7 linked regions of the Cricetulus griseus genome follow. The protein of the gene in region 7 purifies or fractionates together with the protein of the main gene of each other region. This does not show direct contact. Links are inferred from orthologs where the notes say so. Each region holds a gene or a part of one and is shown on either strand. Other genes may lie near its edges. The genes, in order: Cct2, Arhgef2, Ppp6r3, Tiprl, Ppp6r1, serine/threonine-protein phosphatase 6 regulatory ankyrin repeat subunit B and Ppp6c.

Region 1 (4,066 bases), on a different chromosome or scaffold from region 7:
AGCCCCAAATGGATAATAATGATACTTCTGAAATTCATTTCAACAATGGCTAATGACGGCTATCATTTAAATAGTTGTAAAATTATTAACAAATAGATATGCAGACTCACCAACTAAAACTTTAGCTGCTGGGTTGTCAACACCAATGTTTTTTAGAATGGTGGCACCATCATTGGTTACCATTAGAGAGGCATCTCGTCCACTGCTTAGAAGAATTTTGTCCTTAAGAGAAATTGGTTTGTGTCAAATTGAGGAGTAAGTACTTCTTGAAGAAACCTGGAGTCAGTAACTGCACTCAGCTTTCCATTGCTGACACACCAACACTCTGGGTGGTTACCTGACCACCAAACATTTCAATGCATGTATCCGACAACCAACCCTCAAAAACTTGGAGGTACAGGTAACACAAACTAGCTCTGCTACAGCACCATGACAGACAACAATGGAAGCAAATGTCCATGAACAAAGTTAAAAGCAAACCCCAGAATACTGTATTGTGGTTAAAGAAAAATAACGTATTTTTAAAAATCATCACAATGGAACCCTCCTTATGCTAGTTAAAAGATCAATTTAAAAAAATTGGTAAAAATCCACAAGAGGGAGTTCAACAAAAACAGAGTGCTGAAGACAGGGTCAAAGAAAGCAGTGGGAGGCACTGAAGGAGGAGGTATCAGGGAAGTTGAAAGTTTGCTGGGTGACCTTGACCCAAGTCAGGGCTTGGCCATGTGTGCCAGAGAGGAGATGGCTTGGGTTTAGTTATGTCTTGAAATTGGAAGTGTGGGGTTTGTTCAGAGTGTTTATGATATCGAAGGACATATGGACAGTTAATGACTTTAGTGGAATGAAGCAGTAGTAGGCATTTGGCAATCATTTGGGCAGAGGAAACATAGGCGTCTGAGAAGAGATGAGATTTGTGTGGAACAGGTGATCATGAGAGAACAGGAGCCTAAGGGTGAGGATGAGTTATTAACAATGGAGGGGTCAGACAGGAAGGAGCTGGAGGACCCTCTTGTGTATGAGAAGGATGGGGAAAGAGGTCTTGGAGAGTTTTTTGACAGGAGTGTAGAGGATCTGGGGCAGAAAGGAGAATGCTAAGGAAAAGGGTAAGTATGGAGGGATTGAGGGAATGACGGGTAAGGAATGTCAGTGATGAGTTTTTGATAAAGAGAAATTTGGAGATAAAATCTGAGGCGATGGAAGTGACAGTAGAGTCCTTTGTAAGTTAGGAGTTGAGGGGAATAGTGGTGGGAACAGATGGTAAGAGGGGATCAATAGATTGTGAGAGCAGATCCCGGAGCTTGTAAGATTTAGTGATGAGCAGAAGGGCTGTGAAAGAGGGCATTCTACAGAGTTCTAGAGAGGAGTAAGCAACAGGGGCAAAGGTCCTTCTTAGGAAGTGTCTATGTATTTTGGAAGTGTTAATGATGGAAAGGTTTGTACAAATCTGAGAGGCAGAGGGCTGGAGCAGAAGAGAGAACACTTTAAGAGATTGATTGTGGGTGGAAGGACAGTAAGGCTATAAAAATAATAAGCATGTCAAAAGAGGTAGCAAAACTGACAGAAGCTTAGAAGAGGACACCAAAAAACCAAGTAGACACCAATAGCACATACACATAAAAGTGTTATCTTAGAAATGCATTATGAAAATCTATGATAAACTTAAAAATACTACCAGGTTTTGCATATAAATGGTAACACTTGCTGCCAGTGGAGAGTAATGTTCGATTGGGGATGGGGATACAGGAGGATAATTTTTTATAATTTAATGTTTTAGCTTGCAAAACATAATTTTTCTTACCATGCCCTTGGGCCCCAAAGTGCTCTTCACCAAGTCTCCAATGGCGATGGCACCAATAAAGGATGACTTAAATTAAAAGAGAAAAAAAGAAATCAGAAAAGGCGGTCAAAACTTACCAGAAGAGAGAAAAGTACAATCTTGTCATTTAAAAGAGGCGGAATGAACGGGCTTACCAGGCGAGCTGTTTCGGCTCTCTCTTCATCAGCTCCAGCCTTGAAGATATTCACAGGTGCCAGGGAAAGGGACGCCTAAAGAAAGGGAAACCAAGATACTCCGTTTGAATGCCAGTACTCTTGAAATTAACACATGTCGGGAGTCCGTCATGGGAGTGGGAGTTTATTTAAATGGCGAGAGGGACTTACTGGTGGGCGCCAGGAACCAATCAACCGGCTGGTATGTAGGGCTAAACTAAAGGCAACACTAAGGGGGAGGCAAGCGGCGTCGGAGGCACAGTGGTCCCAACCACCAGGGACCCTCCATCTTCCACAGGCCTGCACAGCCACCCGCCCGTCAGGCCCCGCCCCGAGGAGGGCGGGGCTGACAAGAGTACTAGAAACTTCTTCGTTTGGGGTGAGTCCCGGGGGTCATCGGGGTCCCCTAACCACGAAGATAGTTGATCTGAGACAGAGATGCTGGCTTGGGGTGCACTCTCCCTTCGCGCCCCCCGTAGAGAGTTCGGTCTGCGGATCCCACGCAGGCCTCACGCCCGGCCATGTGCGACCGGCCGGCCCGGGAGACGGCCTCAGGGGGCCTGTGTCTCCCGTTAGATAAAAGAGAGCGGCGGGGAAGCGGGACACAGCGGCACCCGGGCAGGAGCGGAGGTCGTGGCCCGAAAGCTAAGCTCACCATGGTTCCGACGAACTCAGCGCAGAGGATAATCCCTCACAAGCCGCGCCGGGAAGACGGCAGGGGAAAGGAAGGCGGAAGTGACGACACACTCTACCGAGGGGGGCGGAACCGACCGCGCAGGTTTCCGCCCGTGCGACCGCCTCCCTCCTGCGTAGTGGGCTGTGCCGGAAGCGTAGCCTCTGGAGGCCGGGGGTGGGGGGTGGGGGGACTGGACTCGCGCCACGCCCAGTGGCGGAAGTCACTGCAGATGGGGGAGGGGCTAAGGGCGGGCCCATTTAGAGTAGAACTCCAGAACAAAGAGACACAGAAACTGAGTTCCTGCTTACATGTATTTTTAAGGTCAGATGTACAGTTTCAAGTGTTGTACGCTAATCATTTCCCTCACTAACTCTCCCTGGAAGCAAACACTCAAGTTTTCATCTTTTTTTCCCTTTGTGGGGATTATTTACCTGCGTGGAGACTACTTCTCTTTCTGGGGCATAAAGCCCATGTTACACAGAATTCCCCTAGCTGGCCTTTTGTTTGTTTTTGTTTGTTTGTTTTGTTTGTTTTTTTGGCTTTTTGGAGAGCGGTCCAGAAAACTTAGTAGGGAACTAACCTGCTCCTTAGTTAGAAGCATAGCCTTGGAAAAGGCTGCTCTGGTTGACAGAGCTTTCTGAGGCTTTGTGACGAGTCTGCCGATAAAACGCTTTCTGTTCCCAGTGTCCGGATGACTCACAGCTGCTTTTCTAATCAGCGGGCCCGGGGGTGCTTGCCTCATGCCACACTTCAGGTGTTTGTCATCGGTTGCCACATTTGAGGCAGGAGTGGCTCCGGCAGTGGCTCGGGCAGCCTGGGGTAGCAAGCTGCTGCTGGGGTGTCCATAGTCTGACAATCTCCTTGTTCAGTTCTCTCTCTCTCTCTCTCTCTCTCTCTCTCTCTCACACACACACACACACACACACACACACACACACACACACACACACACACACGTACGTACGTTTTTTTCTTTTAAGTTCTACCAAAAATTGGGTTTTCCACCCTTCTAGTTATAATCATTGCTGGCTGGTGTAGCATACTGGTCAAAGGGATGCTCTCGGGAGCTGACTTCCTGTTTTGTTTTTGTTTTTTGTTTTGTTTTGTTTTTCAAGACGGGATTTCTCTGTGTTGTCTTGGAATTAGCTGTGTAAACCAGGCTAGTCTCAGAGATCTAACTGCCTCTGCCTCCTGAGTGCTGGGATTAAAAGTGTGTGCCACCACTATCTGGCACAAACTTCTTTTTAACAATTTAATACTGGCCGGGCTTTGGTGGCGTATGCCCTTAATCCCAGCACTAAGCACTCGGGAGGCAGAGGCAGGTGGACCTCTGTGAGTTCAAGGCCAGCCTGGTTTCCAGAGCGAGTGCCAGGATAGGCTCCAGAGAAACCCTGTCTCCAA
Region 2 (3,500 bases), on a different chromosome or scaffold from region 7:
GAATGCTCCAAGCCCAAAATTAGGTCCTTCCACTCTGCCTATGCTGACTCTCTCCCCTGGGCTGCCTGTCAACGGGCTCTTTGGGTCCTTGGGCCTTTCCGCCCACACCTAACCTATTCCTGTTCCTACAGTGGAGCTGCAGCAGAAGGACCGGGCGCTGGTAGAGCTGCTGCAGGAGAAGGTTGGGCTGTTTGCCGAGATGACCCACTTCCAGGCAGAAGAAGATGGTGTCAGTGGGATGCCCCTTCCCGCCCTGCCCAGGGGCCTTTTCCGTTCCGAGTCCCTTGAGTCCCCTCGAGGCGAACGGCTCTTGCGAGATGCCATCCGTGAAGGTGAGGGATCTCCTACGGAAGGGTCAAGACTGTTGACTCAGCCTCACATAATGAGGCCCTAGACCAGGGCCATGTCAACCCCACAACTCATAAAGGCCCTTGAGGGTTTGTCCTGGGACGAGATCTGACTTTGCTGTTGTTGGATGCATCTCCCTCTGGCAGGCTCTGCTCCTACCCCTTGGACATCTTTGATGTCCCTTGGATGCCACATGGCTGACTGAAACCCCAGTACCCAAATGTGGACTCCCTAAATACTTGAATGGTCTGTGTGTGTGTCTGGCGACTCCCACCCGTTTTGACTCCTGCCCCCTCCTCCTCTCCCTTCAGTGGAAGGCCTGAAAGACTTGCTGGTGGGGCCTGGTGCCGACCTGCTTTTGACACCCCGAGAACCAGCTTTACCTTTGGAATCTGACAGTGGTAACACCAGTCCTGGGGTCACTGCCAGTGAGTACGGGGCATGAAAGAAAGGAGGGAGTGGCTAAAGAGTGGTGTGGGGTTACAGGACCCTAAGGAAGTAAGTATACACTGCTCCGCCTCCTCTTCTGCAACAGATGGAGAGGCCAGAACCTTCAATGGCTCCATCGAGCTCTGCAGAGCAGACTCAGATTCCAGCCAAAAGGTGGGTTCCTGGGAGAGTCAGGGAGTGGCTAGAGAAAGGGCACAGCTGGCCTGTGGGTCTTCAGTGGAAAGCTGCTGGGAGCACCCCCCAGGTCTGTCTGTGCCTGCTAACTCCCCACCCTTGTCCATTTCTGCAGGATCGGAATGGAAATCAGTTGAGGTCACCCCAGGAGGTGAGATGGGAATTCTGTGGTAGATAAAGGAAAGTTCTGTCTGTCTGAGGAAGCCTAGCCCAGTTTGGGTGATTTAGGGGAGTGTGTACTGAAAGTATGTCTCTAGACATTATTTCCACACCCTCTTGACAACTTCTGGGCACTTATCCTAAGCTTGGGCACCACTGCATCCAACCTTTATCTGTCCTCAGGAGACGTTACAGCGATTGGTCAATCTCTATGGACTTTTACATGGCCTTCAGGTCAGTGAGCCAGAGCTGGAATGGGGGCTCCAAAGGGGGGGGGTGCCAGCCAGAGGTGTCCATGTAGGTGACATTCATCCCAACAGGCCTCAGTACGCCCCAGGCCAAACTTTCTGTGTTCCTGGGATTGAGAGAGAGGTAGGTGGAAATTGCTTCTGAAACACCTTTTGGCCTCATTCCATCCTCAGGCTGCTGTGGCCCAGCAGGACACTTTGATGGAAGCCCGATTCCCTGAGGGTCCTGAACGGTGGGAAAAGGTATCCCGAGCCAACTCTCGGGATGGTGAAACTGGCCGGGCAGCGGTTGCTCCTGTGGCTCCTGAGAAGCAGGCCACAGAGTTGTCACTGCTGCAGCGCCAACACACTCTGCTGCAGGATGAACTGCGACGCTGTCGTCGGCTGGCTGAAGAGCGGGCAGCTGAAGCTAGCAACCTGGAAGTCCGGCTTCGAGAGAGTGAGCAAGCTCGGGCCGTGCTGGAGCGGGAGGCTGAAGAGGCCCGCCGACAGCTGGCAGCCTTGGGTCAAAATGAGCCACTTCCAGCAGAGGCCCCCTGGGCTCGCCGGCCTCTGGACCCTCGGCGCCGCAGCCTTCCAGCAGGCGATGCTCTCTACTTGAGCTTCAATCCCCCTCAGGTAAGGCTGTCTGGAGTTCTGGAGTGTCTCTCAAGTGAAGCTAAGAGCTTGCAGAACCTGAAGGACACTTGGTTGTTGGGCATTTAACCCCAAGTGACAGCAGAGAACAGATTTGAATGACAGTACTAGTTGGGATATGGGTAAAATGTCTCAGTTGGTAAAATGTTTGCCATGTAACATGAGAACCTGAGTTCGATCCCCCAAACCTTTGTTCAAAGGCTGATGGTACATGCTCACAATCCCAGTGACGAGGAGGCAGAGACAGGTTCATCCTCTCCACTCTCTGGCTAACTAGCCTAGCCTCTTTGAGTAGCAGGCCTCTCCCATGAAACAAGGTGAATGATTCAGCCGGCCCGTAGTGGCGCAAGTCCCAGCACTCTGGAGGCAGAGGCAGGCGGATCTCTGTGAGTTCGAGACCAGCTTGGTCTACAAGAGCTAGTTCCACGACAGCCTCCAAAGCCACAGAGAAACCCTGTCTCAAAAAACTGCCTCCCAAAAAAGGGAGAAGAAAAAAAAAAGCAAGGTGGATGACTCTTAAGATAGAACTCTGGCTTCCTTATACACAAGTGCACACACATACAGACAAAAACATACTAGTTACCTTAAAGAAATTTAAGGTGTGGCAAAGTCCTCTGCAAATCTCCAGTACTTCCAACAAATACGCTCTGTTCTCCCAAGATTTGTGCCAGTAGACGATGTAAGGCAATGTGGGCATTATTATACCTGGAGTCCATGCGAAGGCTGAGGCTAGAGAACCAACTTGACCCAGTGGATATAGAGATGAGGGGATTATCAGTTGGTAGTAGATCTTCTGAAGGGGTGGGGATGCGGGTTATTGGTGACCCTCAAGAGACGAGGTGTGTTGGGGCCCCCCAGGGCCCGGTGTCCTTGCACACCAGTGCCTTCAGTCTCCACACTGCTCATCCGCTGCATTTGTGCTTTTGCTTTCCATAGCCCAGTCGAGGCCATGACCGCCTGGATATGCCTGTGACTGTTCGTTCCCTTCACCGACCCTTTGAAGATCGAGAGAGGCAGGAGCTTGGTAGCCCCGAGGAGCGGCTGCAGGACAGCAGTGACCCTGACACAGGCAGTGAGGAGGAAGGCAGTAGCCGATTGTCTCCACCCCACAGTCCACGAGGTGAGATTCTTGTGGGGTTGTGGGGTCTGGGTCCAAGCCCTTGGGCCTGTGGCTTCTGAGTGTACTTTTACATGACTCCTGAGGCCCAGTTACTCCGGGACAGCCTGGGCAGGCTCCCTGCTCTGTGTGACGACACGGGGGTAGTAGAAGTTTTATGTTGTTGTTGTTTGATTGTTGAGGGTTTTGGGGTTTGTTTTGTTTTTTTGTTTTTTGTGCATTGGTGTTTTGCCTGCATGTGTATCTGAGGTCAGATCCCTTGGAACTGGAGTTATAGACAGTTGTGAGCTGCCATGTAGGTGCTGGGAATTGAACCCAGATCCTCTGGAAGAGCAGTCAGTGCTTTCAACCCCTGAGCCATCTCTTCA
Region 3 (4,285 bases), on a different chromosome or scaffold from region 7:
TAAACTACCAACTACAAGGTTGATCATAGAAGCAAACTGAGTATCAACCCTGGCAAAAACTGTTCTAAGGAAGACATGCTTGTTTGTAACAGCACATTTTTCTAGAGGAAACCAACAAAGTTTCATCTTAAAGCAGATAAGCAAACCCCACCTGAAGTCCTCCTTTCAGTGCCATCTATTTTCTGAACTACAGACTACTCTTAAGTTAATGAAAACTAGCAAGCTCCTTTTGTTTATGTGGTTTATAGGTGGTTGTTTTTTGATTAAGTACAGTTGGGGATGGGATCAATATACTATACACAAAAGCTTAAGTATTTTAAAGCAATCAGTGTACTTAAGATGGAGTTTATCAAAACATTCTTCCCCACTGCATAAGTCAATCCAAGTCACAAGCAACTACCACCAAGAAGACAAGCCTATTTTCAAGTACCATGGAGAAGGCACAGGGCAGACATTAAAAGGCTGATTTCAGGTATGACTGAATGAGTGAAAGACACTGTTAAATGTTCTAGACTCCCTGGCCAAACAGTAAAGTGTAGAATAGGTCCCAGAACACCCACACACAACTCTACTCCCCAAGCTATGAACTGAGCACCCATTATCCAAAGTGGTTGAGACTACAATTTCAGTTTCGGATTTTGGAGTGTTTGCACAAACTTTACCAGTTTTACATTCCTAGAACAAACTGCTGCACCATCTGAAAGTTTGATGCTGAAAAGTCATCAGGTTTCATAGTGTTTAAATGTTAGGTATGTTTAACCTGCACCTTTGCTGAAGCTCTCGAGACTGCAGTCTTTCAATGACAGTAACAAGCAAGTGACACCAGGAAATCACCAAAATTATTGATTTGGGACAACCACACAGAAACAGTACCTAAAAGCAGAGGAATGGTGCTGTTTAAGCTCCAGGGGGTGTTTTCTATACATAAATATTGGTTTAGACAAAACACTCTCAAGTGTGATGACCTGTTGCTACAGTACATGTAGGTAATTTAGTGAATTTTCAACTTCGCTTCCAGTTTTGTTTTTTTTTTTCAGCCCACCTGATCCTTAAACACATGGCTTTCCTATTTTTACCTAAACATTTTAATTTTAAACTAGGTGTGTCGGTGCATACCTCTACTCATAGTGTTTGTGAGATAGATAAAGGAAGATCACGAATTTAAGGCTATCCTTAGCTGAATACAAAGGTCAAGAACATCTTAAGCTACAGGAGACCCTATCATCTCAAACAAACAAACAATAAATATTCAGTCACGTATAGTGGTGCATGACTTTAATCCCATGAGGCAGATGTTCTGGCCACACAGTGATACCCTGCCTCAAAAATGAATAAAATGAAAAGATCAAGTTGAATTTGGTAATTATGGTCACTACTGAACTGATTCCATGTGCCAAGCATGGTTCTAGCTGCTTTGTGTTAACTTGTTTACATATATACTCAGTTAGTTACAGGTCTAACTTGTACATTTGTTGGGACAAACTTATGGAACAGAGTTGTTTTCCCGGGTCACAGGGGCAGCAAAGGTAATTAATTTGCCCAAGGTCACAGGGCTAGAAAGTGTCAAAGCAAGATTCAATTTTCAAATGACCCAAAAAAAAGTTCAGCCACCACTGATAGCGGGATCTTGCACCTTGCTACTTCAAGGCACATTTCAGCGGTAGGAAATCTGAAGTCACTTTCTCACTGGCTGCTCCATCTGCAACATGACCTTGAGGACAAAAACCAAAGCAAACTTCACTTAAGAAAGTGAAACAGTATCCATATTAACAAGCGCTCTGATGGAAGGAAACACGTCTAAGTGACCCCCCTCCCCGCCCCGGGAAGCAAAACATAAACAAAGCCCTGACCCAAACTAAATAGACTATATCAAGTAGGGGAAAATGACAGTAGGTCATGCCTTAAAGAAGTCCAGGCTTGGAGCTAATCAGAACACTCATTCTGTCCCACCTACAACTTCAAGTCCAAGTTCTAAGAAAAGGCAACGAGAATGGAAAGGAAAAAACCTCCATGTTAACAGTGAACCGAGCTTCTTAACAGGGAGGTACTTGGAGCCACAAAGATAAGCCCTCACCCCAGCTCCAAAACACCGAGGAGTCTCGAGTGCCCCGGTTTGCGTTTAAGAGAACCTATGGCAGAAGCTGAGAATTCACAGCAATGGCCCCGGGAGACTCAGAACTGGTTTTTGTGTATCCCGATGACTCTGCGGCGAATGCCCAGAAACCCACAAAACTTGTTCCTCGGAGGACAAGAGTGCAACAAAGGCCTTCGCGAAGGTCTCCCGACGAGTTGACAAGCTCCGGGAGATCCCGAAAACTCGCTGGGAAGGCCCTGGCGCGGGAGCAGAGGAGCTCGTTCCGGACCCCCGACTTGGCTGAGCTCCTCGCCTCGCCCGGGCTCCCGCCTAGCCAAACCCGGAGAGTCACCTCGGCGTCCAAAGTTCGCCGCCGGCTCGGCCCGCTGCCAACGCGCGGCCGGGCTGACAGGAGCAGGCGACTCGGTCCCGGCCAGGACTGGACGCCGCCTCCCGGGCCGCCAAAGCAGCCGATTCCGGGGGGGAGGGGAGAAGGGCCGGGACGCTGCCTCCCCACGCCGCCGGGACCGGACCACCGCCCCCGTCGGTCGACCGCCCCCGCGCGGCCCGCGCACCCCGCGCCGGCGCTCCCTTCCCCGAGTTACCTGGAGGCGCCCACGACCCGCAGCTAGTCACGCTCAGGCGGGAAAAGGGCTCACCGACACCATCAGCGAAGCGCCCAAAATGGCGGACGTATCAAGCAGGCCTTGAGTTACCCCCGCCCTCCCTCCGGACGCCTGGCAGCCAATCACGGGCAAGACTCCGCCCCCTTCCCGAAGATAATTGGCCTGCCTCTCCCGCCCCCCACAACCTATTGGACCTCCCAGCGGCTCCCTCGCCTCTACTCCGATTGGCTCTCGGTTCTTGTCAGTCAAATGCGAGAGGCGCATTCTTTTTCCCATGGTCTTGACGGATCCGGAACCTCTAGGACCCCGGGGTCTGGGAAACAAGTCAGAAATTGGGAGAAGCTTGGGCTGGGTCCCTCTACGCCGTAGCAACAGCAGTGCCTCGTGTGACGGACGCTTCGGAACACCAATTCGCGTAGTCAATGCATTTTAAAACAAATGAGCCAAACCAATCCCGGCTGTGTAGCTTTAGATACGAGGGAGCCAATGAGGTAGCACAACAGGCAGTAGGGCAACGGCCGCGAGGGAAACCGGTGATGACGTGAGTCACAACAAGACTTGTGGCGGAAACTGCTCATGATTGGGGAATTAGCTCAAATGGTAGAGCGCTCGCTTAGCATGTGAGAGGTAGCGGGATCGATGCCCGCATTCTCCACTCTACAATTTTATAAAACAACACCTGCTTAAATTAACCGCTACAGACTAAAGGGACAACTCTAAAGATGGAATCAAAACCCCCAAATGCATAACGGACTGTTAGAAGAGGGTCTAGGTCATGAATTTTGTCACAGAGAATTTACACATGAATTTCTTCCAAATGCCAGTGTCCTACCAATTGTACCTTACTTTTGTCGAGCCGCAAGCTGAAGTCATGGACTTCAGAATCCACACTTGCAAGCCTCCCGAAATATCCCCGACTTCCCACTGTCATAGTTAATCCCACTTGTCAGTTCTCCTGGGGAAATTGAGCTGACCACAAGCATTCATTCCTCTATACCAACTGACTGAATGTGCTGTGACCAGCAGGCTGAACCTTGACTTCCCTGCCATAATGACCTGTACCTTGGAACTGTGAGACAAAAATGAACCCTTTCTCCCTAAAATTGCTTTTTTCAGAATATTTTATCACAGCAAGGTACTAAGAGAACTCCTTATATCCCTATGAATAACATGCCCTGTTTAGAGTGGACAGGACAGAATTCTGTTTGGGGGTACTGCAGCTGGCCATCAAGGGCAGCAAAGTTTCCCACTCTTGAAAGCCTTTTTTGAAACAGCATCCCTGCCATTTGACCAAGATGATCAAACTGAGGAACAGACTCTCCTGAGAAGGTAGTATGTCATAAGACAGGACAGAGCTCCAGATCCCTAGAGTGTTGGTGCCAGAGAGAGACAGGGTTTCACAGAGACCCCAGGGTGGGACTTTGGAGCTTCAAAGGCAGGAATGGCCAAGGTATGATGGGAGGGAGACTGGGTAGCAGAGGTGGCTGAGTCACACAGGCCTGGAGTGACAGTGCTCTCTCCCAGTAGTAACCACAGTGGTTCTGACTAGTCCAGTGATTCACTGAAACTCAGAGAGCACATAGTG
Region 4 (4,059 bases), on a different chromosome or scaffold from region 7:
TCTACAAGTGAGACCCTGTCTCAAAAAAGAAACAAACCCTGTCTCAAAAAAAAAAATATATTCTTAAAAGAAAATAGAAGGTGGGAATAAAAAAGAGATTAGTAGAAATCAGAGGGGAATAAGAGTGTAGTATAGCCGGGCATTGGTGGCACACGCCTTTGATCCCAGCACTCGGGAGTCAGAGGCACGCAGATCTCTGTGAGTTCGAGGGCAGCCTGGTTTCCAGAGCAAGTGCCAGGATAGGCTCCAAAGCTACACAGTGAAACCCTGTCTCGAAAAAAACAAAAAAAAAAAAGTGTAGTATGAGAGGTGTGAATGTGATTGGAATATATCATGTACATGTAGGAAAATGTCATCAGGAAACAAAACCATTATGTAACAATATAGTCTTATATAAGGTCAAGAAAAGAACAATGCACATTTATACTCTTTCCAACAGTTTTGCATTTATTTCCAATTAGACATATTAAACAAGTCTTTGTGTACATATTAAAATCTGTATACATATTAAAATCAATTAAAAAAAGCCTATATGATCAAATAAATTAGGGTTTAGAGCGAAGAAATACTGCTCCTTATGAGAAACATCTATCTCATTTCTGAGTCGTCAAAGGCCCATTAACAGTTTAAAGAGAGAGAGAGAGAGGCAGAGAGAGAGACAGAGTTTAAATATCACCTAGGAGATGACTTAATGCACTGTGTTTTTATATGACATCGATATCAATAATAGCTATGAAGAAAAGATAATGAAGGACCTGTCACTTGTAAGGGAAAAAAACAACTCTTCTGGTAAAATTTTCAACTTCTAAGCAATTTCAAAATTGGTGATAAAAAGAAGCAACAGTAGCTAAGGAGGGTAGAAACCAACACTTACAAGGCTCTAGGAATCTACATTCCACCCTAGGGCCACAGTCACTACACTTGCTTACAAGGCTCTAGGACAATTAAACTCCACCCTGAGGCCACAGGAACCAAACTTTCTAATAATTTGACCAGATTTATACTTTCTGATGAAGGATAGCTATAGAAAATAACCAAGTACAATTACATACTAATTACTTCTAATAGTGAAAAAGGAATACTGAATGTTCAATTGAAAATAGTTTTGTAAGGGGGAAAAAAGCTATTTTTTTTTTGTTTGTTTTTTCCCCCTTGGGGGTAGGGGAGGCAGGGTTTCTCTGCATAGCCCTGGGTGTCCTACTCACTCTGCAGACCAGGCTGGCCTCAAATTCAGAGATTTGTTTGCCTCTGTCTTCCCAGTGCTGGGATTCTTTTGCATATATACATTTTAAATCTCTAAATAGGATCCTGCTATCATATCCTATCCATCAATTGGCCATCAAACGTAGGCGCCTAATCTTAGCTTCTCCAACTGTCTCTTTGCCACTTCCTGGCCTCCTTTCCAGCTCCCAGCCCTTCAATCCATCTTCTAAACACACCTCCAAGAAACCTTTCTGACCAACCATAACACCTGGTGGCTATCAGATAAAATCCAAACTCCTTAGTACAACAGAGAATTTACTCTCCAGTGACACCAGAGAGAATTCTCCAAACACACTCTGCCAGGCTGCCCCCACACACACACACACCAATTTTGTCAAGATACAGTTCAAGCATCCCCAAACATCTCAGAGCTGACTCCTGGCTTTACACACCCACCCAGACTTGATCAAGATTCTGCCCAGGCCAGGCAGGTGGTGGCGCACGCCTTTAAATCCCAGCGTTTGGGAGGCAGAGGCAGGCTGATCTCAGTGAGTTCGAAGCCACCCCGGGCCTACAGAGAGTTCCAGGAAAGCCAGAGCTACACACAGAAAAGCCCTGCCTCGAAGGAAACAAAAAAGATTCTGCTCTGATGCACTGACTCACACACACACAACACAAATAGCCCCGTCTACATACATCTTCATCCTAAAGAGCCACATAATTATAACGGTCTCTCAGGAAACTAGAAATTCCTCAGGACTTTATCTTTCATCTTCCATATCTCAAGTGCTTATCACAGCACCTCATTTGCTAAAAGTTAAAAAAAAAATTGAAAACTGAAATCGCTCCGAGTATACAACTTCATCCTAAACAGTCACGGAGTAACATAACGGTCTCACAAACTATGAAGTCCGGGGACTTAATGATTCGTGACGTTCCGAATCTCAGGCGCCCACCACCACACATCCCCACAGGCTAGAAGCTAAACATAAATGCCATTTCTGTCATTGCTCCCGAGGGAAACGGGTCATCCACGCCCAGAAAGGTGGCGCGCGGGCTTAGGTAAGGGTATCAGACAGGAGGGGCGAGGGCAAAGTCCACCAAAACGGCCGCGCTCAGTTCAAGCCTGCGAAGCGACAGTTTCAGCAAGCAGAGGTCGCGAGCCGGGGACAGGACCATTCACTAAAGTTGTCAATCAACGGTCGCCTCAGAGGGGCAGAGCCTGCGGCTCCGAGACCCGCGCGAAGCTGCACCGAGCCCGCTCGATCCCCGGCCGGGCCCGACCCCGTCCCCGACCCCGTCCCCGTCCCCGTCCCCGACCCCGACCCCGTCCCCGTCCCGGTCCCCGCCCCGCAGCCTCACTTCTCCACATCCGCAGACTTCATGATGTGGGTCTTGGCCGCCGTCAGCTTCCAAGGCCCGAAGGAGAAGTCCTGGTGGCTGCTCTGGAAGCCGTGGAGCATCATGGCAGAGGTGGACCGCAGGACCACTCGGAGCAAGTGCCGGCGGCAGCGGTCACAGAGCGGCCCTCTCCGAAACGCGGCTCCCGGGTTTGTCCGTTACCATCCCGGCCCCGCCCCCTGCCGCCGCGCCGAGGGCCCGCCCTTCCGCCGTCGCGTCTGTCCCTTACTGGTTTTGCTTCCGGGACCAGCCACGGGCTCTGCGTGACTCGCGTCTTACGTGAGGAAGCTGAGGGGCGGGGCCTAGGACGCCTGGGCGTTCTCGTGGGCGCGCACCCGGAAGTCTCCCGGTGACGTCACTCTGAACCCCGAGCTCCCTGCTTCTCTGCTTTCCCTGCTCCCTACAGACGCCTCCCGGCAGTGTGGTGCGTTTTTGAGTCGCGGTAATGAGGACATCCCCGACGCCCCTAGCGTTTAGAAGGCCCAAGCCAAACAGAATATATCAGTGGCCTTCGAGCCAGCGACTGATGGTGGCTCCGCCTGGCATCTCCGTGGAAGAGCACGCACTTGCCTTGCGAGCCGTCGAGGCCCTGTGTCCCGTTCTCAGCATCGCGAAGGGAGCGCCCAGTTATCCTTCTGACGGTTTAATAAGGCGTTTTCTGCCTGCACACCGGTGTAGTGGGAACAACGCTGGGAGCCTGGGCTCCGTCTGTGCCTGCAGTGCAACTCTGTGTATCTTTGGATCAAAACACTACTGATTATTTTTGGCTTCGGCTGCCTCAAAAAAGAGATGTTAGAGCATCTCTCAGAACTGTTAACCATCTCAATTCCAGTGGCCCCTTTTTATTCCTTCCCATCTTGCACGAAACGTTTCATCGACTCTGGAGCCACTAAGCATCGTCCCTCCATGGTTCGTGATTCAGTTCCTGCCTTGACTTGTTAGAGGTGTAATAATAACCCCTTTCCTCCTCGGGTATTTCTGTATGTATTTCTGACCCATCATCAATTTCCCTGCCCAGGGTCTCTGGGTTAATTCATTGTGTTGTCATTCCGTTTTTGCTTCCTACTACAGTTACTCCGTTCACATTGCCTGTGGGAAGTGGGGCGTGTCAGCGTCCCCATGGAATGAAGTTCCTTTTGAATTGTGGATGGTTGTCCACCTTCGTCACTGGCCTACAGCAGTTGGCTACTGAAGTACTTCCCAAGGCGGCTGAGGCCCTTTCACTAACGTTTCATTGAAAACCTCACATTATCTGGATCTGTTAGAAGACATAATGAGGAAGTGAATGAGGAAACTACATGTAATAATATCCATCCCAACAGTTTTTCTGGAAGAGTCTCAGATAGACTAGGCTGACCTTCACTATTTTAGCTAAGGATGAACTTGAACTTTGCTACATCCCAGGTGTTGGGATTATAGGTTTATATCACCAAGCCCTCCTCCATTTCAACATTC
Region 5 (3,335 bases), on a different chromosome or scaffold from region 7:
TGAACTCACAGAGATCTGCCTGCCTCTGCCTCCCTCCCGAGTGCTGGGATTAAGCCTGGCTGATTTGTAACTCTCTGACTCATGTCCTTTTTGCCTACATTGCATCTTTCCTCACTACCTAGGTCTCTTTTCTAAATGTCACACTGTGCTCACGTTTGTACCGTTTACATACACACATGTGCTTTAGGAAGTAGGCTCTGCATAGGAGGGATAAGGTGTTTCCTGGCATTTATAGCTGGAGGAAAAAAGCAAAGTCAATCTTTTATTTGGAAAGGTCTGTGTGTATTTGACACTGGTAACAGCTGCGACTTGAGAGATGGTGCCTCATCTCTTGTGGTTGTGGCTGAGTCTTGTTCTGGAGTGACTCAGACTCCCCTTGTTTGCTGGCTTCTCCCTGCGGCATCTTCATTGCCTGGGTTCCCTGGACCTCCCTGGAGGCCTCTGTTGCCCATCATCTTGCGCTGTCCTGCTCTGTGGCTGGGGAAGTGGGTCAGTAGGCTGCCCCTAGGTGGCCTCCTAATGAGTTGGTGTCTGAGGCAGGAGTGGAGGAAGCACAGACAGCGAGGACGACGAGGATGAGGAGGAGGAAGAGGAAGAGGATGAGGGGGCTGCCCAGGCGGCCTGTGGAAGGGCCAGCCCTCCCTCCTTCCCCAGCCTAGGCCCTCAGCCTCCTGGTAAGTGTTTGGTGGCTTGTGCTCAGGTACACGGGGCGCGGCTGCCTTCTTGAAGCTCATCCTCTGTCCATGCTCTTTGACCTCTCACAGCCCCAAGTTGGACAGCCACCTTTGAACCAGTGCCTACGGATGCCCCAACAGGACCCTCAGTTTCCAAGAAGACAGACATGTCCTCTACCCAGATCCAGACCAGCTCTCCAGCCCACCGTGCCCCACAGCTCAGGTATGGATGGGCAGGGCAGGGCAGGCAGCTGTGACTGTCATCTGGGAGGGACTCCCACGCCCTGGTCCTCTCCTGAGCTTGGGTGTTGACCACAGCCACATGTTCAAGTTCCTGTCTTACCTTCTAGGTCTCAGGACCCCATACCCCCCTCAGCACCTCAGGAAGTCACAGACAGCAGCAAAGTAGCAGAGCCCTTGGGTGAGCCAAGCCGTCCCTTTCCCAGAAGGGCAAGGGCTCTGCCTCAGGCCCATGTGTGCTGTGAAGACAGCAGTAAGGCCATGTCTCAGCTTGCTGACATACGGCCCATCTCTCCTTCCACAGCCCCCTGCCAGGCCTTGGTTAGTGTTGCGGATGTCCAGGCCACTCTGCATGGGATGTGCTCTGACCCCAGCTCCTTGGACAGGTGACTGTTGGTGTCCATCTGAGCTGCTTGCTGGAGGAGGGGTAGGGGAAGCCCAGCCTCCTTGCTGAAGTGGCTGCTGCGCCCTTGTCCCTACTTGTCCTCAGCACCGGGCTCCACTTTGAGCTCCTTTGCCCCTAGAGCTGGCTGTTCCTTTTAGTGATGAAATGTTTTGGACAGTGGCAGGAGTGTGCGTGTTACCATAAGCGTACCCTGAAGGGGGTTGGCCACTGAGAGTCAGGTAGAAGGCTGAGGAGCCCCGGCTCTCCCGCCCCCATGCTCTCTCTGCCTTCAGTGTGCTCATAGGCTTCCCTGTTGTGAGGGCTCTGTGCCCCAGCCTTTTCTCACCTGAGGCCCATTCTGGAGAGACCACTGGCCTCAGCAGGCAGAGCCTGTCAGCAGGCATCTAACAGTAGTCAAACTGGTCTCTCCTACAGTGCAACCAGAGACCCCTCTACCTCTGTCCCAGCCTTTGAGGCCCAGAAGTCCCCCCAGACAGTGGAGGGGGAAAAGAACCCAGAACCTTTGGGGCTTCCCCAAAGCCAGAGGTGAGTTGGCCTCTCCAGGAGGTGTTGGATGGATGGGCAAGGATGGTGGGGCAGGAGGTAACCCCCAGTTCTCCTTTCTCCCCGAACAGTGCCCAGGCCCTTGAGACGCCCAATGGCTCTACCCCAGGAGGGCCCATTTCATCGGGTTCCCAGTGAGTGTGCCCCCAGCCTGGTGTGGGTGGGCAAGATGGGGTCACTGGACCTCCTCACACGTGTTTCCTTCTGTTTCTAGGTAGCTGCCTGGTGGCAGTGATGGCCAAATCCTCTGTCCTCCCCATGGAACCCCACCCCCCCCAGTGGGGCAGGATGGGTCCTTTGGTGGCCCTCTTGCCCATTTCCCCATATCCTGCATTCTCTCCTCTGGACTCCAAAGGAGGCTGGTGCCAGGGAGATGCCCTCACCCACCCCATTTGCACTGAGAAGAGAAACTATGGAGCTTTGTCTCCTAGAATAAAGATAGAGAGTCACATAGAGAGAGAGAGGAGAGAGAGAGAGGTATATTATATATTATATATATATATACATATATATATATATATTGAGGGAGGAGTAAGAAAGGAAGCCAGGACAATAGCTGGGTCAGCAGCTCTGAAGCACAGCCTCCCGGGAGTCGTCTGTCCAGCGGGGACCGGCGCTGGGCTTTGAGGCTGCTGACCCAGGCTCTGGTGCAGATGCTCACACCCGGCCTTTCACTCAGGACCACCTTGGGGTGTAACAGAGGGCGCTAGGCCCAGAGGGCCATGCGTTTGTTCAGACCTTGCACTTTGACCAGGCATCTGGCCCCTGGCCCTGGGGAGCGGGGCTTCCCTGGCAACATCCCTAGAGGGCCAGAACCGGGGATTCTGGGTGCCCAGTACCCTGAGGGTCCCAGCACTGCTGCCAAGTGGCCTTGTCCCAGCTCCTTCCCCCAGGCTGGCGTGAGTGTGCAAGTATGTGTGCAGGGTTTGTGTTTCATACTGCAAATATAAATAAAGGAAGACAGCTGAAGAATCCTGGTGTCAGACCTTGAGTTCTGGGACTCAGGGTTGGGTGAATCTGCTCTATATGGTCTAGAGAGAATGGCATTCTTTTGGAGGACACTGGTGAGTGTGTGAGAGTGTGTGTTTGTGAGTGTGTGTGGTGAGGAGTGCTTTTTTGTTTTGTTGTTGATTTTTTTTTGATACAGGGTTTCTCTGTGTGGCTTTAGAGCCTATCCTGGCACTCGCTCTGGAGACCAGGCTGGCCTCGAACTCCCAGAGATCCGCCTGCCTCTGCCTCCCGAGTGCTGGGATTAAACGCGTGCACCACCAACGCCCGGCTGAGGAATGCTTATTTTAAGTGTGTGTGTGGCAGGGGTGGGGGGTGAGGAGTGCTTATTATGCTCACCAGGTAGAACACGAGGAAAAGGGCAGCAGTCTTGTTGAGTTAGCGCTTTGGAATCCTCTCATCATGATGTGCACTGCCTTGGCCCTGTTTGGAGATACAGATCAGGGTAGGAGCTGTGTTGTCAA
Region 6 (3,500 bases), on a different chromosome or scaffold from region 7:
ATTCTTCTTGTCACTTATTAGGCTGTTTATGCTGCCTCTGCATAACAACTTTATGATTTCTACTGTTGTCCATTTAGCTTATTTTTTCCCTTCAAAAAAAAAATCCAGCAGATATGTATAAAGAATTGGCCATGGGATACATACATTGCCATCATTTGTCACAAAGAGCAACAGAAATAGAATGACTGTTCAAAACCAGGTAATCACTGAATTTATTTTGGTACCTACACACTAGAATGACCATATATATGTGTGTGTGTGTGTGTGTGTGTGTGTGTGTATCTGTGTGTGTATTTGTGTATATGGTGTGGTGATATATTATTTATGATTTATTAAAGCTTGTCTGAGGGTTCAGAAAGCAAAGTTAGCCACAAGCCATAGAGGTCAGGCAATGGTGATACATACCTTTAATCTCAGTAGCCGTACTAGCTAGCCATAGAGTGAGGTGGAGGTAGCACACACCTTTAATCCCAGGACTCAAGAGGCAAGCAGATGGATCTCTGTTAGTTCAAGGCCACACTGATTTACATGAAATTGATTCAGTCCTAAAGAGAAACAGCTCACACAAAGGTGATCTCACCACTTGGGATCACTGGCCTTTCATCCCAAAATTAGGGAGATATAAAAAGGAAGAACCAAAGGGTCTCATGTGAGGATTTATTCTCCAGCCACATTGAGGAGAGGCAGCAGTCTAGGATTGCAATTTGAGGATTTATGAAGGTAGCTGGATCACCCTTTCAGTCTGAAGTAGAGTTAAGAGCTAGTGGCTGGCTGGTTTGCTTATCTGACTATCAGGTGAGCTTTAATAAATCATAAATAATATATACCACATGTGTGTATGTGTATATGTGTATATTTGCATATATGTGTGTATATTTATGTGTATGTGTATGATTTTTGTGTGTATATGTAGTGTATATGTGTGTATATATGTATATGTGTGTATGTATGTGTCAAATGTGGTTATCTCCAGGAGGTCTGATTACTGATGATTTTCTTTTCCTGCACTTAAAAATACATTTTGTAAGTATTTTGTGATATGCATTTTGTAATCAGAAAGGTGAGCCAATTTCTCCAACAGTAGATATTCATGTGTCTATTATCATAATCTAACACAAAGTCTTAAAGCAGGACCTAACTATAGCTTTCCTTATTGCATCGTTGTATAAAATTCTGTAATTTCGTTTTGACTGTGAAGCTAACGGACTTGTATTATGACACAAATCTTTTCCCCTAAGACCTCATGTAGGAAAAAAACAAAGCAAGTTCATTGAGCAGGTAGGTACTTGACTAAAGCTGGGAAAGGTGTACATACCCCTCTATGTAAAGCTGTGCATCCCACTATGTCAACAGCATCTACATTTGCTTCCTTTTCAAGTAACAACGAGACGGCATCGATGTGTCCATATGCTACTGCAAGCATCAGTGGGGTTCTAGGGAGAGAAAAATAGGAAGATTAAAAAGGACTTCCAGTGAGAGCAGAGTTTTCTCTCTATTCTTAGTAAGTGCCTAATAGTCTCTGGTAATCTAATTTGCTACTCTGTGCCATGGAGAACAAGAGATCTATTTCTGTTCTAAGGGCCTCATGGAATGGCGGCATAACACACAGGCCCAGGGCGAGGCAAGGGACAGTCTCATCTCAAGTAGTCATATTAATTCTACCATTTTCAAAACTGTGTGGCAACCACTAGGTACCAACTGGTTGGGACATGTGTGCACGCAGAAGAGACCCCTGCTCCTGTCACAGCAAATCTACCTTCACAGCAACCAGTGTCGAACTTTGCTCAAGACTTACCTCCATGGAAAGAGCTTCCTCACTTTGAAAATAAGGCTGACTAGTGTAGAAGAAGAAAGACAGGGCTCTGCTCTGACTCACTCAACCCCGTCCACCTGGGGATAGAAACTACAGTCTTTCCGTCTGTACTTCCTATTTGTAGGAAGAGCCTGGGTGAAAAACAGGCCAACAGATAGAGAAACAAACTCAGGAGAGAATACAAGCTGAAGGATTTTTTTTTTTTTCAAAACAGAGACAAACTCTTGAGGTCTGCCCTTTTGCCATTATTAATTAAAAAGTGGGAAATGGTAGCTTTGTCAGTCAAAGATGGGAAGAAATAAGAAATATTAAAAAATCAGGAAACATGGCTACAGTCAAGGTAAAAAGATGCTGGCTGTCATTAAGATATGCACACATCGCCAGGCATTGGTGGCGCACACCTTTAATCCCAGCACTCGGGAGGCAGAGGCAGGCGGATCTCTGTGAGTTCAGAGGCCAGCCTGGTCTACAGAGTGAGTTCCAGGACAGGCTCCAAAGCTACACAGAGAAACCCTGTCTTGAACCACCCCCTCAAAAAAAAAAAAAAAAAAAAAAAGGATCATCAAGATAAGCACACACCGAATACTTCACTTAAACATATGCCCTGGGGCGATCCTTCATTGTTCTAGGCTCCTTACCTATAAGTTTCACAGAGATGTACTCCTCCTATTCTAGAATTCAGCAGCCTGCCTTCTTCACTACTCCACAAACCAACCAATCAGCTCTTGTGACTGACACAACAGCCGGAGGCCAACATGAAAACACTTACTGTCCCTTGGCATCTTTCACATCAACCAGCTCCGGGTTGTCTGCTATTTCGAGTAGTAGTCTCAAACACAGCGTGTGACCATTAACAACTGAAAAACAAAATGATGGGCATTCTCTTTTTAAAAACCAGCACCCCAAAGTGAAATTCAGGTGGACTTCAAATCAGTGATTTCATACCACTGCTGACAGGTAGCCCTGGTTTCCAGTTCAAGAGAGTCCAGGTGGCCTGGCTCATGTGCAGAAGTAAAGATGCCCCTTTAGAAGAACAAAGCGCCTAAGTGAGTGTGAGGGGTGCTGGAAAGAAGCCTCACGGCATGATAAACCCCTCCTCTAGAATAAGGCATTTCCTCTGGTGTAGTGAATGGACACTTTGAGAAGCCTTACAGCTACTGTGGAATTCCACTCGGGGAACAAGAAGACAAATATCCTTAGCATTCCAGACATGGCTTCCTCTCTGAACAATAAGGATACCATAAAGGACACTGGACTTCCCTTGCTCTGGACGTAGTGAGAGAAGGGCACAAATGTAGTTATGTTGGATTGATAAAGGCCCCTCTTTCCAGTCACAAAAGGATGATAATTTGATTTCCACACAGTTTTGGAACAACACATATTAGAATTAGCTCACATTCAGCAGCAGCGTTCAAATGAACAACAGGAACACTGTCCACATTTTGTAAGCCATAGCATTCAGTCTGTTCTCTCTCTCTCTTCTCTTCTCTCTCTCTCTCTCTCTCTCTCTGCATATATTATATTATATATAATATATATATATATATATATATATATATATATGAGTTCCAGGTAACATTTTATTGCTGCTGTTGCTCTTAAAATTATACAAAAGCCTGCTACCATGTTGAAATCTGCCGGGACTTTAACATATGCCTAAAAGGAAAAGATTGGCATAGGACTGAGA
Region 7 (4,140 bases):
GATAGGGGAAAAAAATTCTACCCAATAGTTACCCAAAAACTTTGGTGGGGGGGGTGGGGAGGAGTGGGGGGCCGTATGGAAGTCTATAAGAGACATGTACATGTGGGGCTGAAGAAGCGACAAAGTGGTTAACTACTTTTGTAGAAGACCTGTGTTCTATTCCCAGCACCCACGTCAGGCTGCTTACCACTACCTGTAACTGCAGCTCCAGAGAGATCTAATGCCTCTGGCCTCTGAGGGTGTCTGCACTCAGGTGCACATACCCTGACAGAGACATACATGGTAGATCTCTGAATTCAAGGCCAGCTTGGTCTATAGGGAGTTCCAGGACAGTCAGGGCTACACAGAGAAACCCTGTCTTGATAAACAAAATAAATAAATAAAATTAAAAAGCATACAACAGGAGAAATGGTTCAGCTGTTAAAAGTTTACTTTTCTCCAGATGTTGGTGGTGTATGCCTTTAATCCCAGCACTCGGGAGGCAGAGGCAGGCAGATCTCTGGGAGTTCTAGCTAACCTGGTCTAAAGAGCGAGTGCCAGGACAGGCTGCAAAGCCACAGAGAAACCCTGTCTGGAAAAACAAAACAAAAGGTTTACTTTTCTTGTAGAAGACTCAGATTTGACCCCCAGCATCTACATCAGTTAGCTCATGCCACCTATAAATCCAATTCCAGGGTTAGGATGCTCTCTGCTTCTGCCAGCACCGGTACACATAAATTCACACAGGCATACATACAAAAACATAAATAAAAATAACAAAACTTTTCAAAATTAATTTCAATCCTCATACCACAATAAAATAGAATAAACCACTATTAAAGTAGAAGCAGACCCAGGGGTTCTAGGCAAGCTTGGGCTACATAATCCTGTGTGTGCGTGTGAACTGGAGAGATGGCTCAGCACTTAGACTGTATAAGGGACCTGAGTTCAGTTTTATTCACCTACATCTGGTGGCTCACAAACTGCCTGTAACTCCAGCTCCAGGATGACCTCCAAAGGCACCATGTGCCCATACTCTTCCTCCCTCCACAAACACTAATTAAAACTAAATCTTATTTATTTATAAAAAAAGAAAGAATAAGCACAGAGCAGCCAGGCATGGTAGTTTAAGTTGCAGCTTTTGATAAGTGGGAGCAAAAGGATCAGAATTCAAGGTCATCCTCAGGTATTTAGTGGGTTGGAGGCCACGATGAACTTTTTTTTTTTTTTTTAAGATTTACTTTTATTTTGTGTATGACTTTTTGCCTGCATGTATGTCTGTGAAACAGGTATGTGCCTTGATGCCTGCAAAGGCCAGAAGAGGGCATCACATCACTTGAACAGGAGTTAACCGCCATGTCCTTGCTGGGAATAGAATTTTCAGGTCCTCTGGAAGACCAACCAGTGCTTTGAACCGCGGAGACATCTCTCCAGCCCCAGCAAGACCTATCTTAAGATGCTATCTCAGACAGAAAACAAAACTAAAAAAATTACCAAGCAGAAAGAAGAGCCAAATGACTGAAAGATGCAGGTGGCTGAACATGTGAATACCAACCACGTAACACATACAATCAATATTTAAGTACAAGTTAGGTACTTTCACACAAACAGCACACGTGATCTTAAACATTTTGCATATTGTTTGATCAACTTCATGTATCAAATGAGACAGGAAAACGCACACAGAGCAACATCTTGCCTAGGAGAAATATAATTCATCAGCAAGATTTTTTTCTTGAAAAAAGTTTTAAGCCCATGACTTAAAATGATTACAAAAACAGCCTAAAAGAATTCAAGTGATCGAGAGCGTTTATGTATTTACCACACAGTAAATCAAAGGTAATGGAATAAAACTAGCAACCATCGTATAAACACCAATGGAGACCTAAGCACTAGCTTTAGCAGAAGCAAAATACGTTTGAAAACAGTGGTTTACCAACGGCTTGCTTCCTTTACATTCATTCTTTCAACACTCTTAACTTGAGCTGGGTGAGACCTTGAGAAACGAAGAAAACGACACTTTGGGTTATGGGGGAACAGCTCAGAGGTCATAAAAGCATTTGCACTCTTGATAAGCGACCGCTTGTTCACTTAAATAGCTCAGCACCGTGCTGAGAAATGGGATCCCCATCCGAATTATCAGAAGAAAACTAGCACTGCTAATTAGGGAGCAATTTGGGGGAGTGGTGAAGCTCAGGCGACTGACAATGTCCTACTACTGTCAACCGATCCCGCCCACCGGCTTCCTAAACACACTGCGGACACCCGCGTCCTGGGGCCGTCAGCAGCTCCTGTCCCCTCTGCCGGGAGGACCCCATCGCGAGAGCCCTGCCCGCTGGCAGACCGAGCGTGTCAGAGCCCAAGAGGCTGAGCCAGGGGGGGCCGGGGGACCGCACATGCCCGGGACCCCCTCAGGGAGCCGCGCCAGCATTCGGGGAACTCGGGCTCCGCTGGTTCTCCGCGTTTCGCCGCGTCGGGCCCGGTGGCCTCGCACCGCGCAGCGCCCTCCGCCGCGCCAGGGCCGGGTGCCCGGTCGGGGTCCGGCCGGGGGAGAAGGGCGGCCGGCGGACGCCCCACGGCCGGAAGGGGCTTGCCTCGCCAGCAGGACGGGCTCCGGCCCGGCTCACCTTCAGGTCGTTCTCGGGAAGGTACTTGCACTGCCGCGCGATCTCCACATACTTGTCCAGATCGAGCGGCGCCATCTTAGGCAGAACAAGCCGCGGTGGCGGCGGGGCGGCGGCGGCGGCAGCGGCGGCGGCGGCGGCAGCGGTAGTACTGGAGGCAGCGGCGGAGGCCGAAGCCGGAACTCTCCTTACGTCACGTCCGACCCGTGAGTGGCGTCTGCGCAGCGACGTCAAAACCTGAGTTGCTTCTCTTCCGCGCCTCGACACGCCCTGCGCCCTCTCAGGCCGAACTCCGGGGGTCCTGCTGACAAAGCCTGTTGGGACCCGTAGCTGTCTGCCGCGGAGGATGCTGGGATTTGTAGTTTTCGTGAATCCGAATGCTCTTCCTTTCCTACCCTTCATGTCAGGGAAATCAGATGAGGCTTTTCTGCGGGAAGACTACCAAGTGAATAAGTAGGTTTTCCCTAGCACTCAGCATTTTCAGTTAAAGTTAGGGTAACTTGCCGACTTTCCAGGGCTAGTGAAGACCCCGGCCTAGATGTGTAGAACAGATTTAACACACCCAATTCTCTGGCTTGGAAGAAAACAAACAAATATTAAAGCATTTCTTAGGCTAAATTCTGTACAAATACTGGCGCGCTGTTTTTCCTTTTCTTGTAAGACCGAAGGGCGTGCAAAATTTGCACGTGTTACTTCCCCCAAATATCAAAGGAAACAAAAAAGGTGGAGCCTAGACTAAAAAAACAGACTACTGACTTGATTAAATGTGTGAGTCCCAGGGGGCGGCAAGAAGGGTTTAGTTTTTGTTGCTTTTACTTTGTTTGATTTTTGTCGTATCCTCGTGTTAAGAACAGTTCTTGACATCTAATATAGCTTTAACATTGGTTCATTTGACGACTGTATATTGAGCAGTAATTAAGTACAGATAGCTTGTAGGAGCTTAGTGACCACAGTAGACGAAAATCTCTATCCTTGAGGCTGGAAAGATTGCTCAGTGACTAAGAGCACTAGCTGCTCTTCCGGACCAGGATCCAAGTTTTATTACCAGCACCCACAAGGCTGCTCACAAATCCTGTAAGCCCAGTTCCAGGGGATCAGACACCCTCTTCTGGTCTCTGGGGCACTGTATGGATGTAATTCACAAACCCACTTGAAGACAAAAATAAATAAAATAATAAAAATTTAAGAATATATATTCTGTTTCCAACCTGTAATTTTCTACCAATCAGGGGCTGGAGAGATAGCTCAGAGGTTAGGAGCACTGGAGGTCCTGAGTTCAATTCCCAGCAACCACATGATGGCTCACAAACATCTATAATGAGATCTGGTGCCCTCTTCTGGCCTGCAGGCAAACATGCAGACAGAACACTGTATACATAATAAATAAATCTTTAAAAAAAAAATTAGAAAAAGAATTAACCAATCAGCCATCGATAGTGGAGCACACATTTGACCCCAGCCCTGGAGAGGCAAATGGATAACTGTGAGCTCTAGGATAGCTCGGTCTAAGTTAGCAAGTTGTCAACCAGGAGACCCT

The links.
Region 1: the proteins of Ppp6c (region 7) and Cct2 purify together in Homo sapiens (affinity purification with mass spectrometry; 4 studies listed by BioGRID and IntAct, with this or other methods). This does not show direct contact. The link is inferred for Cricetulus griseus from reciprocal best matches to the Homo sapiens genes PPP6C and CCT2.
Region 2: the proteins of Ppp6c (region 7) and Arhgef2 purify together in Homo sapiens (affinity purification with mass spectrometry; 4 studies listed by BioGRID and IntAct, with this or other methods). This does not show direct contact. The link is inferred for Cricetulus griseus from reciprocal best matches to the Homo sapiens genes PPP6C and ARHGEF2.
Region 3: the proteins of Ppp6c (region 7) and Ppp6r3 purify together in Homo sapiens (affinity purification with mass spectrometry; 10 studies listed by BioGRID and IntAct, with this or other methods). This does not show direct contact. The link is inferred for Cricetulus griseus from reciprocal best matches to the Homo sapiens genes PPP6C and PPP6R3.
Region 4: the proteins of Ppp6c (region 7) and Tiprl purify together in Homo sapiens (co-immunoprecipitation; 4 studies listed by BioGRID and IntAct, with this or other methods). This does not show direct contact. The link is inferred for Cricetulus griseus from reciprocal best matches to the Homo sapiens genes PPP6C and TIPRL.
Region 5: the proteins of Ppp6c (region 7) and Ppp6r1 purify together in Homo sapiens (affinity purification with mass spectrometry; 11 studies listed by BioGRID and IntAct, with this or other methods). This does not show direct contact. The link is inferred for Cricetulus griseus from reciprocal best matches to the Homo sapiens genes PPP6C and PPP6R1.
Region 6: the proteins of Ppp6c (region 7) and serine/threonine-protein phosphatase 6 regulatory ankyrin repeat subunit B purify together in Homo sapiens (affinity purification with mass spectrometry; 5 studies listed by BioGRID and IntAct, counting the BioPlex papers as one, with this or other methods). This does not show direct contact. The link is inferred for Cricetulus griseus from reciprocal best matches to the Homo sapiens genes PPP6C and ANKRD44.

What each region holds. Positions count from the first base shown.
Region 1 is NW_023276806.1:139,274,439-139,278,504, forward strand, and holds the start of Cct2 (T-complex protein 1 subunit beta), read right to left. Parts: upstream 2,801-4,066; 5' UTR 2,648-2,800; coding exon 2,645-2,647; intron 2,047-2,644; coding exon 1,972-2,046; intron 1,865-1,971; coding exon 1,799-1,864; intron 223-1,798; coding exon 111-222; intron 1-110. UniProt on the Homo sapiens protein: Component of the chaperonin-containing T-complex (TRiC), a molecular chaperone complex that assists the folding of actin, tubulin and other proteins upon ATP hydrolysis.
Region 2 is NW_023276806.1:65,869,395-65,872,894, reverse strand, and holds part of Arhgef2 (rho guanine nucleotide exchange factor 2), read left to right. Parts: intron 1-131; coding exon 132-332; intron 333-659; coding exon 660-776; intron 777-883; coding exon 884-951; intron 952-1,087; coding exon 1,088-1,123; intron 1,124-1,314; coding exon 1,315-1,365; intron 1,366-1,553; coding exon 1,554-1,997; intron 1,998-2,951; coding exon 2,952-3,135; intron 3,136-3,500. UniProt on the Homo sapiens protein: Activates Rho-GTPases by promoting the exchange of GDP for GTP.
Region 3 is NC_048596.1:55,664,178-55,668,462, reverse strand, and holds the start of Ppp6r3 (serine/threonine-protein phosphatase 6 regulatory subunit 3), read right to left. Parts: upstream 2,801-4,285; 5' UTR 2,680-2,800; intron 1-2,679.
Region 4 is NC_048598.1:27,164,825-27,168,883, reverse strand, and holds the start of Tiprl (TIP41-like protein), read right to left. Parts: upstream 2,801-4,059; 5' UTR 2,670-2,800; coding exon 2,566-2,669; intron 1-2,565. UniProt on the Homo sapiens protein: May be a allosteric regulator of serine/threonine-protein phosphatase 2A (PP2A). Isoform 1 inhibits catalytic activity of the PP2A(D) core complex in vitro. The PP2A(C):TIPRL complex does not show phosphatase activity.
Region 5 is NC_048602.1:23,283,754-23,287,088, reverse strand, and holds the end of Ppp6r1 (serine/threonine-protein phosphatase 6 regulatory subunit 1), read left to right. Parts: intron 1-540; coding exon 541-674; intron 675-764; coding exon 765-897; intron 898-1,024; coding exon 1,025-1,095; intron 1,096-1,218; coding exon 1,219-1,300; intron 1,301-1,734; coding exon 1,735-1,845; intron 1,846-1,934; coding exon 1,935-1,997; intron 1,998-2,077; coding exon 2,078-2,081; 3' UTR 2,082-2,835; downstream 2,836-3,335. UniProt on the Homo sapiens protein: Regulatory subunit of protein phosphatase 6 (PP6). May function as a scaffolding PP6 subunit. Involved in the PP6-mediated dephosphorylation of NFKBIE opposing its degradation in response to TNF-alpha.
Region 6 is NC_048595.1:409,103,703-409,107,202, forward strand, and holds part of serine/threonine-protein phosphatase 6 regulatory ankyrin repeat subunit B, read right to left. Parts: intron 2,671-3,500; coding exon 2,583-2,670; intron 1,434-2,582; coding exon 1,316-1,433; intron 1-1,315. UniProt on the Homo sapiens protein: Putative regulatory subunit of protein phosphatase 6 (PP6) that may be involved in the recognition of phosphoprotein substrates.
Region 7 is NC_048599.1:150,486,031-150,490,170, forward strand, and holds the start of Ppp6c (serine/threonine-protein phosphatase 6 catalytic subunit), read right to left. Parts: upstream 2,801-4,140; 5' UTR 2,682-2,800; coding exon 2,607-2,681; intron 1-2,606.